2 linked regions of the Neurospora crassa OR74A genome follow. The protein of the gene in region 1 interacts with the protein of each later gene in a pairwise test. Links are inferred from orthologs where the notes say so. Each region holds a gene or a part of one and is shown on either strand. Other genes may lie near its edges.

What was found. The genes of interacting proteins can lie anywhere in the genome.
Region 2: the proteins of NCU00018 (region 1) and NCU02147 interact in binary tests that used the Saccharomyces cerevisiae proteins (3 or more experiments, as listed by UniProt). The link is inferred for Neurospora crassa OR74A from reciprocal best matches to the Saccharomyces cerevisiae genes CDC48 and VMS1.

What each region holds. Positions count from the first base shown.
Region 1 is NC_026503.1:2,303,488-2,309,951, forward strand, and holds NCU00018 (cell division control protein Cdc48), read left to right. Parts: upstream 1-2,617; 5' UTR 2,618-3,047; coding exon 3,048-3,103; intron 3,104-3,195; coding exon 3,196-3,223; intron 3,224-3,289; coding exon 3,290-3,345; intron 3,346-3,399; coding exon 3,400-3,649; intron 3,650-3,715; coding exon 3,716-5,207; intron 5,208-5,266; coding exon 5,267-5,859; 3' UTR 5,860-6,339; downstream 6,340-6,464. UniProt on the Saccharomyces cerevisiae protein: ATP-dependent chaperone which probably uses the energy provided by ATP hydrolysis to generate mechanical force to unfold substrate proteins, disassemble protein complexes, and disaggregate protein aggregates.
Region 2 is NC_026501.1:1,082,711-1,088,144, reverse strand, and holds NCU02147 (ankyrin repeat and zinc finger domain-containing protein 1), read right to left. Parts: upstream 4,068-5,434; 5' UTR 3,858-4,067; coding exon 1,908-3,857; 3' UTR 1,727-1,907; downstream 1-1,726. Other genes in the region: NCU02146 (hypothetical protein), read right to left, coding at 1-270, 412-755; NCU16330 (hypothetical protein), read left to right, coding at 4,967-5,028, 5,098-5,419. UniProt on the Saccharomyces cerevisiae protein: Endonuclease that cleaves polypeptidyl-tRNAs downstream of the ribosome-associated quality control (RQC) pathway to release incompletely synthesized polypeptides for degradation.

The DNA.
Region 1 (6,464 bases):
AAGACGTCTACATAACAATCAGAGAAAGAGAGAGAGAGAGAGGCAGGACACTTGTGTGGCGTTAACTCAGCTGAATGTCTGACAACCTACCTAGAACTGTTCTTACTGACATGCACATGAAGAGCAGACCAAGGTCGTCTCTGGATATATTAGGCAGAGCATTTGGAGAAAACAGAGCCGTGTCACAGGCATGCGCTCATACATCATACGTACCATCCCTTTCCCCGTCTCCTGTACTTGAGTAAATCCAATCAACAAACATGTCAATCTTCAACAGCGAGCTCGAATTGGTGTCCATCACCACTTTACCACTACACCCTTTCATTCTACTCATACTATACCTTACCCTACCTCTACGGTGCCTAGCTTCTACTTCTACCCCTGGAGCAAGGCATAGCTTACATTACTAGCCCAAGTATAGTCACACGTGCGAACATTCGACGTCCATGCTGGCACGGAAGGCGTAATCCCATCTTGCCACTCGTACGATTCAGTCCTCGTCGCCCTAGTGTCTCATCCAAGCGAGCCAAATTGGCATCAGATCCCCATACGCCACAGACCGGACGTAGTTACATCCGATCAGTCAGTAGAAATCATTCAGCCCCTCTGCCTTTTTAAAACTGTGATATCAGACAAGAACGGCGCTCATGGGGCCATTGAAGTCCATCGAATGGCTACAAAACAGCAGCAGAGCAGGCAGCAGAATTTGACTTCATGTTTGCTAAAAGGCGAGAGAGGATTGGTACCTTACTTGGTTTCGAAGGGGCGGAGATAAGGGGATGGAAATTCAAATGTACCAGAACCTACTAATATTGAAATGTGATGTAGTGACGAGGTGAACGAGGCTCGAGGCAGGAGGGATGGGGCAAGGCGAGCCGATGTACAGAGCCAAGGTTCTGTAGATAATAGGAACGTCAAACGTTCGGTTGAGTCCACGCCTCTACTATCAGTGAACTCAACATGTTTGGCTGTTCGTCCTGGACGTGACACCGAGGGAATGGGCTTCACATACATATCCATCAACAAATCCAGAGCGCGTTGCGCTTCCTTACCTAACTTTGCAGTAGATACGTCTCTAAAGCCTTCGTTATTTAGCTAAAGTCAGTTGGTGTTGAATGTTGTCACGTCTTCCATATCGACGCTGCCTCGGTGATATTCTGAGCTCAAATCCGTTGACAGAGGGACACAAGGGTGATCTTGTCCTGAGTTTGACGAAGTCCTATCTTTAGCAAGAGTATTAGAACTCAATCAGGCTCCCGGGTACCTCGTGACTGGGGTGGGTAGGGGCAAGTTGGGTTGGAAGGCAGAGGGCCGGGTGTAGTTGACTGAATATAGGTAGTCCTCATGTCTAACGAGCTGTGCCCGGAAAACTGCCAAGCCTTGCTCACACTGACTCCACGAGAGTGAACGTCGTTGAAGTCGAGGCTGGTTTGATTGTTAGTCTGTTGCCTGAAAGGAAATGCCACACCCTCCGAGCTCCAGCCCCATTCTGGCTCAATGCGTGTTGTACAGTAGGTAGTAACGGTATATCGGATCCGGATCGTGGAGGCATTGGACTATGGGACCTTGAGGTCCCTTTGGACTCTGAATGGCCAGGTGGGCGGCGCGCCGCAGCGTCTTTGGGGTCACCATGTACAGCGGGGTAGCTAACACCCATGGTACTACACTACTGTAGTGTATGTATGTAGTACGTTACAAGGGTACCGAGCTCCCTGGCTTCTAGCCCCGCCTTCTTCCAGCCGGGCGCCGAGCAGTCCGGGGAGAGACTCCGGGACGTACTGGGTATCGGCGTGCCGGGGCGGAGCCGTATGGCCGGCGCGCGCCTCGTATAAGCACGGGCGGGGACGTGTCCTACAACCCCTGAGGACCCGGTTCTCGGTCGGGTCGAGGGTCGTCGTTTGCTCTTGTCACTCGCTTGCTCCACCCAAAGTGGCATGCGGGTTCCTGCGACGTCCGGACAAACGGACTCTCTCGAATCTCGATAAGACGACAGTTGCAGCCTGCCAACTTTCCGCGTGTTGTCCTGTTCCATTTCGTTTTCTGTGATACCTACCTAGCAGCATCGTTGGCCTGTGGCCTCTGTACAGGCCATCCGGTGGTGCATGCGACAACCACTGACCGCCTTGTTGTCCGTACTGCGGGGGAGGGGCAAATAGGAAATCCCAGGGCAGCATGTCTCGCTTCCTTGGAGAGACCTGACAGCCTGGCCATCTGGACATCGGTGCTCGAGCGGTGCTGCAGCATCCGAACCTCGATTCACTGTAAATCTCGAACTGAAGAAATGGAACGAACCCCAAGTCAAACAAGATGAAGCTTTGATCTGTCAGCAGCTTTGTAGAACGCATTCGAAGGTTCCGGCCGCACCGTTGCTTTACCAGGTGTGTCGGGCGACCTGAAGATCCTCGGAGCGATGGCAGAAGGCGTGCCTGGAGCCCGGAACAGCCAGGGCATGGAAGCAGACAGAGTGGCAGAATGGAAGTGTACCTATGGGCGAAAAGCACGGACCTTTGTCGCCCCAGAAAAGGCTCCGCTCATACTTCGTCATCCAAATGGTCGCCTGGCGGGGCGGTTTGTCAGTCAGTGACACTGACAGTTGAATCAGATGCCCGCTGTTGCTGTTGCCGCTCCCCAGCTGCTGGCCACCAGCTGCTTGCCCCTGGTTGGCTGGCCTTGGAGGGAGCAAGCGGTCGGTGCCACTCGCCGGCGCAGCGGTGCTTGCTTGCTTGCTTGCTTTGGCTCGAACCGTCCTTTCCATGCCTGGCCGTGACAACCTGAACGTAAACGAAACCAACTCCAACACCAAAACGCAAAGGCACTTCGTCCCTCCGACTGGTCCTTTTTTTTGTTTCCATCCCAACACCATTCACCTTCACCTCGCCGTCCAACCTCCAAAGAATCCCTTTATCAGCGGGTCTTGAGGCTACGAATTCTGGTTTCTTTTTCTCCAAAACCACTTCTTCCCGCTACATCCTCTCCGTGGATTAGCATCACCGTCCGCGATACCCAAATACCACATTTATTCTACTGATTCCAACACAAACGTCAAGATGGCTCCCGAACCTAATCCCGACCACGTCGAGCAGAAGAAGAAGGTCAACTTGATGTACGTGAAGCAGCGACGCTGATCGCGGGAGCTCTCGAAGCTGTCGCGCCCCCTCATCGCGAATGACGCCAAGCTGACTTGAAGCCAAACAGGGACGCTTCTGGTGCCGAGCACAAGGCCGTATGTTCAACCTCGCTTGCCCGCCAAAGACATCTCGAGAACCACTCGTGCTGACCGATGGAACAGGAAGATGATACCGCCACTGCTATTCTCAAGAAGAAGAAGAAGCCCAACCAGTTGATGTAGGTTGACGTTGAAGATGCGGGGCACTGCAACCTGAGCTAACACATATGCAGGGTTACTGACGCCGTCAACGATGATAACTCGATTATCGCCCTCTCCAACAACACCATGGAGCAGCTCCAGCTCTTCCGTGGTGATACCGTTCTCGTCCGCGGAAAGAAGAGAAAGGACACCGTCTTGATTGTTCTTGCCGATGACGATCTTGACGATGGCAGCGCACGCCTCAACCGTGTCGTTCGCCACAACCTCCGTGTCAAGCACGGCGACATCATCACCATTCACCCTTGTCCCGATATCAAATATGTTAGTCTATAACCCGGTCACCTAGTCATAGAATGGGCACCTTGCTGACACAGCATCTCCTTGTAGGCCAAGCGTATTGCCGTCCTCCCGATCGCCGATACCGTTGAGGGCATCACCGGATCTCTCTTCGACGTCTTCCTTGCTCCCTACTTCCGCGAGGCCTACCGCCCTGTCAGGCAAGGCGATCTCTTTATTGTCCGCGGTGGTATGAGGCAAGTCGAGTTCAAGGTCGTCGAGGTGGACCCACCAGAGTACGGTATTGTCGCTCAGGATACCGTCATCCACTGCGAGGGCGAGCCCATCCAGCGTGACGAGGAGGAGAACAACCTCAACGAGGTTGGTTACGATGATATTGGTGGTTGCCGTAAGCAGATGGCTCAGATCCGCGAAATGGTTGAGCTGCCCCTCAGGCATCCTCAGCTTTTCAAGTCCATTGGTATCAAGCCGCCCCGTGGTGTCCTGCTTTATGGCCCTCCTGGTACCGGTAAGACTTTGATGGCTCGCGCTGTTGCCAACGAGACTGGTGCCTTTTTCTTCTTGATCAACGGCCCCGAGATCATGTCCAAGATGGCCGGTGAATCCGAGTCGAATTTGCGCAAGGCTTTCGAGGAGGCTGAGAAGAACTCGCCCGCTATCATCTTCATTGATGAGATCGACTCGATCGCCCCCAAGCGTGAGAAGACCAACGGCGAGGTTGAGCGCCGCGTCGTCTCCCAGCTCCTTACTCTCATGGATGGTATGAAGGCCCGTTCCAACGTTGTTGTTATGGCTGCCACCAACCGTCCCAACTCGATCGATCCCGCTCTCCGTCGTTTCGGCCGTTTCGATCGCGAGGTCGATATCGGCATCCCCGACCCTACCGGTCGTCTTGAGATTCTCCAGATCCACACCAAGAACATGAAGCTTGCCGATGACGTCGATCTCGAGCAGATTGCTGCTGAGACCCACGGTTACGTTGGTTCTGATATTGCTGCCCTCTGCTCCGAGGCTGCCATGCAGCAGATTCGTGAGAAGATGGATCTCATCGATCTGGACGAAGACACTATCGACGCCGAGGTCCTTGACTCTCTTGGTGTTACCCAAGAGAACTTCCGCTTTGCTCTCGGTGTCTCCAACCCCTCGGCTCTTCGCGAGGTTGCCGTTGTCGAGGTTCCCAACGTCCGCTGGGAGGATATCGGTGGTCTCGAGACTGTCAAGCAGGAGCTCAGGGAGAGTGTCCAGTACCCCGTCGACCATCCCGAAAAGTTCCTCAAGTTTGGCCTTTCGCCATCTCGCGGTGTTCTTTTCTACGGTCCTCCTGGTACCGGTAAGACAATGTTGGCCAAGGCTGTTGCCAACGAGTGCGCAGCCAACTTCATTTCCGTCAAGGGTCCCGAACTGCTTTCCATGTGGTTCGGTGAGTCTGAGAGCAACATCCGTGATATCTTCGACAAGGCTCGCGCTGCTGCTCCTTGCGTCGTCTTCCTCGACGAGTTGGATTCTATCGCCAAGGCCCGTGGTGGCTCTGTTGGTGATGCTGGTGGCGCTTCTGACCGTGTTGTTAACCAGCTTCTTACCGGTAAGTTGATTCTTCCTTGGTTTGTGCCATTCTGCTGTGCATACTAACCTGAGCTATAGAAATGGACGGCATGACCTCCAAGAAGAATGTTTTCGTTATTGGTGCTACCAACCGTCCCGAGCAGCTCGACCCAGCGCTCTGCCGTCCCGGCCGTCTCGACTCCCTCATCTACGTTCCCCTTCCTGATGAGGCGGGTCGTCTCGGTATTCTCAAGGCTCAGCTCCGCAAGACCCCTGTCGCTGCCGATGTTGACCTGAACTACATCGCTTCCAAGACCCACGGCTTCTCTGGTGCCGATCTTGGCTTCATCACCCAGCGTGCTGTCAAGATCGCCATCAAGGAGTCTATCACCGCCGATATTCAGCGCACTAAGGAGCGCGAGGCCGCTGGCGAGGATGTCGAGATGGAGGATGAGGTTGAGGACCCCGTTCCTGAGCTCACCAAGCGCCACTTCGAGGAGGCCATGTCGATGGCTCGTCGCTCCGTCAGTGACGTCGAAATCCGTCGCTATGAGGCTTTCTCCCAGCAGATGAAGAACGCCGGCCCGGGTGCCTTCTTCAAATTCCCTGAGGGTGGTGTTGAGAGCAGCGGCAACGGCGGTGCTGGTAACTCGTTTGGTGATGCTGGCAACGATGATGATCTTTACAACTAGATGGGGGAGGGATTCAAGACTCACAGTATTAGAGCAGTCTTCCGCTAGCCTTGGGGCTCTACATGTATGTTAATATGCGCTCAAAGGATAGGAGTTGACGAGGTATTCCTTCAAAGTTGATTGACAATGTCTTTGCATAGTCTCTTTTGTTTGGCCCATCCAGGGTCGATTCAGAGCAATTGGGCACAAACGATGTGACTTATAAGATTCCACATAACAGCGGTACCCTCAGCGATTGTTTGGCATTCGGATTTGGTGACTGAGAGAAAATCATGCAGGCCATGACTTATGTTTTCGTCAACCTCGCTGGCTTTGTGTTTGACTTGGTTCCACCATGCAACTGCCTCCAAATTCGGTTATGAAGATAGGAACAGTGACCCTAAACTGATGTCAACGTGCGGCTCGTTTTTTACTCCCTTCTCAGGTTGCACCAAGTTTCTCAAATTCATTCTCAACCGTCTTCCCAAGCCTACTTGTCATGTCTACAAAATCGACGGCTGACTAGTGGGCGAGCCACTTGTAGTGATCAGTGCTGGAGTTGTATCCCACATTGTGAAAGGTACATGTGCAGTTTTCTCCCGACCCGCGATGCTCGACGAGGGAGA
Region 2 (5,434 bases), on another chromosome or scaffold:
ACCAGCGCCCTGTTGGTGATTTGGTTGGCTTCGTCTGCCTCTGTAGTGGCATCATGCTGAGAACCAGTCCTAGACTGCACATCTCTTCGCTCCTCATCTTCCTCTTCCTCTCCCCGCTCCTCCTTCTCCCACTCCTTCTCCCTCTCCTCAAGCTCCCCTCGCCACTCCCTCTTCTTCCTTCCCTCCTCAGCCCACATGATCGTCTTCCACCTGATATCCTCCAACTTCTGAATCCCCTCTCCCACATCCTCCCCCGCAAACGGCACGAGTCTCCCCAACATGATAATCTCCCCTCTTCCCACCCTCGGATCCTCCACGTACTCCGTCCCCCCGTCAAAGATGATTTTCCCAGGCACGCACTCCGCATCTACCGGCTCGCTCCAACCACGGACGTTCTTGTACTTCTAATACTTGAGAACGACCTGGTCGTTGCGAGTGTCGTCGGACTCGGAGGGCGCAAACCCGGCGCTGCGGTAGTAAGCCTGGCAGCGACAACAAAAGCCGAAGCGGATTTCAGTAAAGTAGGGATGTGGTGGTCGGCAGGGGACCGGTTGGGTTGCAGGGAAAATAAAGCGAGTGAGGTGTGAGCAGATATAGATTTTGGAGGTAAGGGCGGCGCCGGTGTCGCTGCCGCTTGGGATTGAAGGTCCTGAGGCCTCGAGATCATTGGGGATCTCGCGCTGTCGATGGCAGAGACGAATGCCGGAGGATTGGTGGCCGCACACGGTGTAGAGCTTGCGCTTTTCGAGACACATTGTGATGTGGGTGAAAGGATGACTGGTTATTGTTGGTTGAAGGTGTGTAATGGAGGAGTCGATGGACTAGGCGAGTGTCAAAAGCGTGTAGATCTAGAGATTAGTGAAGGAGGAAACGAATTGAGACAACTGGAAATCTCGAGGAGTCGACTTTATACAGTCGTTCGAGCGAGAGTGTAACCGGTGAGCCATCTCCAGCCGTTTGTTATTGCGTGATGAAAGGCACGGGGTTCAGTGAATGGGACGATACGAAGACAACCTGAAGTCTTCAATCGTACATCCGACCGAGATTTAATCCCCGGCTCCTGATCCTTCATCAGTTGCATCCTTGAGAATTGGGTATCCCAGTGATTTTGGATCAGTCAGGTCAGGAAACGTGCTTTTAGCCATCGTGATGCATCAGATACGCTTCAATGAAGTAAATTCGCAAAAACAAGAGCGAACCCAAGAACGGCGAGAACTGACACTCAACGCTTTGTAAAATATGGCTATACCTGATGATCGGAACCTTGATAGGAGTATATCTTCCCGTCATCTATCCAGACTTAAGGGACTCTTCTCGAAATATTAGCGACACAAGTCGAATACTAACAGAGCAGACGTTCGGTTAAATGAAAATAGGTAATCTTCGATCTGTTGATGTGTTGTTCGCTCGCAATATTTCGAAGAAAATAAACTATGAAGGCAATGTTTAGCTTACACCAGATAGTTTAAGACCAGGAAGATTTCGCATTGTTTTTAGTTTCATGCTTGTCGTTGTAGGAGTAGTCTTGTAAGGGCGAAATATAGACATGATGTTCATTTTTTGCTTCAATGATGATTGAGACCATCCCCAATGCCCTACTTCTTACCCTGAGATACGTTTAGGCTGGGGACCCATCTTATATATAAGCCGAAATCGCCCTAAAATAGCATGGCTTGCTCACCTGTTCCATGAATCATGCCCAATTAATTGCTCATGATCAATTATTCATTGGTTGACCAAAGGTTGCCGATAATGATGGGCAGAGGGAGTCAATTCCATTCACCTCAAACTGAGTCATACGTTGGCAACGCTTTGACATTGGTATACCCTAGATGCAATCGTAAAGTGTCCATGACATTTTCCCTCATCTTACCCACCCCCTCTAGCACCAGCTTCACACGTTAGACTTACTGCCCACCTTGCAGCCGCCTAATCCTCTCCTCCGCCGCCCTCGCTCTCCTCTCCCTCTCCAGCCTCATCTTCATTTCTGGCGTCAACCCCTTCGCCTCCTCTTCCCTTCGTTCCTGCGGCGTCAGCTTCATCGCAGCCGCCAACACACTGCCACCAGCCTTCTTCCCATTCTTCGTCGCATCAACCTTTGGTCCCTCCTTTTTCAGCCTCTCCTCCTCAGCCTTCCTTCTCTGATCCTCCTTCTCTTTCGCTTCATTCTTTTCCCTCTCCGTCCTCTTCAATGCCTCGTCCCGCGATAGCGCGACGGGGACCCCGGCGGCTTCCCAATCCCATGCTTCCTCACCAAGCTCCGAGCGGGCAACGCGGAAAGCGTCGCGGGTGGCGCGGTCGCCAGCAAGCTCGAAGGCAGTCCTACCGTCGCCGTTAGGGATGGTAGGGTCCGCGCCGGCGCGGGTGAGGAGACCGGTCACAAGCGGCGCCGAGTTTTGGGATGCGGCCAGGTGAAGCGGCGTTGGAGTGTGGTGGTCTGCTGGGAAAAAGCGGAATTCCTTGAGGGAGATGTCGTTTGTGCTGAGGTAGGATAGAAGGGCGGGCACCTTTGAGCGCTTGACCAGGGCCTGGATCTGTTGGGTGTGCAAAAGGAGCGTCTCCTCTTCTTCTGAAAGTTTTGGTTTCGAAGCCGCAGCCGGCTTAGGGCTCTTCGGTCTCTTCGGTGACTCGGTAGTCGGAGCGGCTGCCTCGGGGACGATCTGTCGTACTTTCAGCCTGGTAAGCTCGATGAAGGCGCGCATCAGCTCGTTCTGGGTAGCTCTCCGGGTCATAAATGGGAAACCACGAATGCGGGGGTCGTTCGCCCGCAGGACCTGTCCGTCGTAAGGGCCGAACAATGTCCTCCTGTTGGTTAAGCCGGTGGCGCGGATGAAGAGCAGATCGGATGTGTCGATAAGTCCCTTCCATTCGGCCAACAGCCCGCGAACATCCTCGACGAGAGCCTGCTCGTTGTACCGACGAAGGTTAGCACCGGCTGAGTGGGCGGCGCCTTTGGCGTTGTCGTTGGCGGATTGCGAACCACCCTGCTTGCGACGAGTGGTGTATCTGTGGAAGGTCTTGTGCACTAGGACGACGGCTTCCTTGTTGAGGGGTCCGGTTGTTCCATGCTTCGTCTTCCGTGGGTTTAGCGAGACAACCATAGCGGCAAAGTGTCCACCGCCAATCATGCACATGAAGATGTGCTTGCCAGTGTAATTTGGTGGGATATCGTTGGCGTCCTTTGGCGGTTTGCCCATGGTGATGGGTGCCAGTTGCCTGGACTTGATAGCATCCATAATAGCGTCCTCCTTCTTCAGCTCTTCTGGGGTGAACATGGCTTTGTAGACGCCATAATAAGAGTTCTCGGGTAACTTCGGGGAGCTGAACCAGAGCAATGGTTGCGACCCGTTTGACGACTTCACTTTTTCCCCGTCATTCTCACCATCATCGCCACCCTCCTTTGTCATCTTTTCTACAATGTTGGCCTGCTTCTTCAGGAGGGCAGATAACATATTCGTATCCTTGTCCTGCCCCTCTTCTTCATCCTCGCTGTCTGAAGAGTCGGAACCTGAAATGCTTTCGTCGAGATTGTTGACGAGCTCCTCAAACTTGGCCTCGGTTACTGGGGAAAGACCGTTGAGTTTCTGTTTCAGGTTGTAATGGTGAAAATCGGTCTTCAAGTGACTTCGTTGTTCCTGGACGTTGTCGAACTTGAGGCTGCATAGTGAACAGCTGGCTTGCGACCCCGATGCGGTGGGCTCAGATGCTGTGGTATCGATTGTCTGCTTGGCGGTTTCGTTGACTGGCTCGGCTGTAATGTCCGCATCTGACTTGAGGGCGACCGTGTTCAGGATGTCGGCGTCGATGTCGTATAGATAGACGGGCCTCCGCTGGAGGTCTTCCTGTTTGCTGGCCATATTGTCGAATGTGATGAGGAAAGGTGAGCGTTACTGGCGTCTGGGAGAGGGAACGATGGCTGCTTCTGGTGATGAGTGGAAGCAAAAAGTTTTTGTAACGGCGAGTGGTTGAGAATGGGGCGCCTCTCTGTTATAAACCTTGTTTGCAAATTGTCGGGTCACCGTTCGATGCTAATGTTGATGTTGATGTTGGCCGTGACGGGCTTGAAAGCTATGAGACGTCAACTGTGAAGTTCCCTGGCAAGCATCAGTGGGGCATTCTTTATCGCGCTAGACATCGTTGGCCGATAAGAGTCATCTCGGGTGACGTACCTCTACCGATCCGATCGAAGTCACAGTTTGACCCTAGCGCACCGCCACAAGCTCCAGTAACCAAAGCGATACTGTTTGTAACTGTCTTGCTCTTTGTGGGCTCTCTCATGAAAATCCGAAAATATTTGGAAAAGAAGAGAAATTTTTTCAAGGCGTTGCCCAACGGGGTCGACACAAGTATATGTACTGCGAGCCGCGAGGTACCTTTCATTTGTTGTCCGGCTGAGCCCTAACCCTGACCGGCTTGTCGACCTAATTCTTGTCTCCTTGAGATTCATCGGACGCTGCGTCTCAGTCTCGAGCATTTTTCAACGCACTACCGGTAAATTGATGCCGCATGGTAAACGGACTTCGATATGTGCAATGCATACGACGCCTGTTTCAGCGCGATGCAAGTGAAGAACGTACAAGAGCGGATCAAATAATATGGTAGGTTCCGGTTCCAAAAAGGAAGAATACAATCTAGAGCGACTGGATCCAAGAAATGCCAAGTGCAGTTGTTCCACTCGTCTTCTCGCTTGGATGCTGCCTACCCTGAACAACAATCAAAAAGAGGAGGACCCTGATGGACAACAGCAAGGGGACGAGGCGACGGATAGTTTTGTTGTCCGCGAAACATTGACACCACGAGAATAGACATTAAGCGTCGGACTACATCACGACACCTCTCTCATCTTACATTTTCTTCACTTCCAGAAAGCATTACCTCGCGTGGCCCTGTGTAGCTTGTTGCATTGTTTATTCATCCTCACTCACCGTCACCCGTACACATTCCCCCCTTCCCTAAAATAAACAAAATGGCCTCCCAACTACCCCCTTTCCCACGCTTTGTCTTTACCAAATTCGAACCTCTCTCACTGTATGCATACTTCGCTCCTTCTCATCACATTTCACTCTCAGATAGAAACACTAACACCTCCCCACGCAGACTATCCGGCTTTCTCCCCGCCATCCTCTCCCCCGATTGGTTCACCCACGAACAACTCTCCTCCTCTTCACCTCTAATCGCCTATCCCACCGCCAGCCGCACCACCACCCGCCAACTAGGTAACATGTATTTCCTCGCCTTTCTTGTCGGGGTAGGCGTGCTGTACTCTTCTTCCGAGATCAGAGTCGTCAAAAACTACCTGATTGCTTTGTGGGTAGCGGATCTGGGGCACATGATGATCACGGCGGAGGCCCTGCGATGGGAGGGGACGATGGATGTGAGCGGGTGGAATGCCATGACTTGGGGGAATCTGGGAGTTACTGTGAGTTTTTTCTGA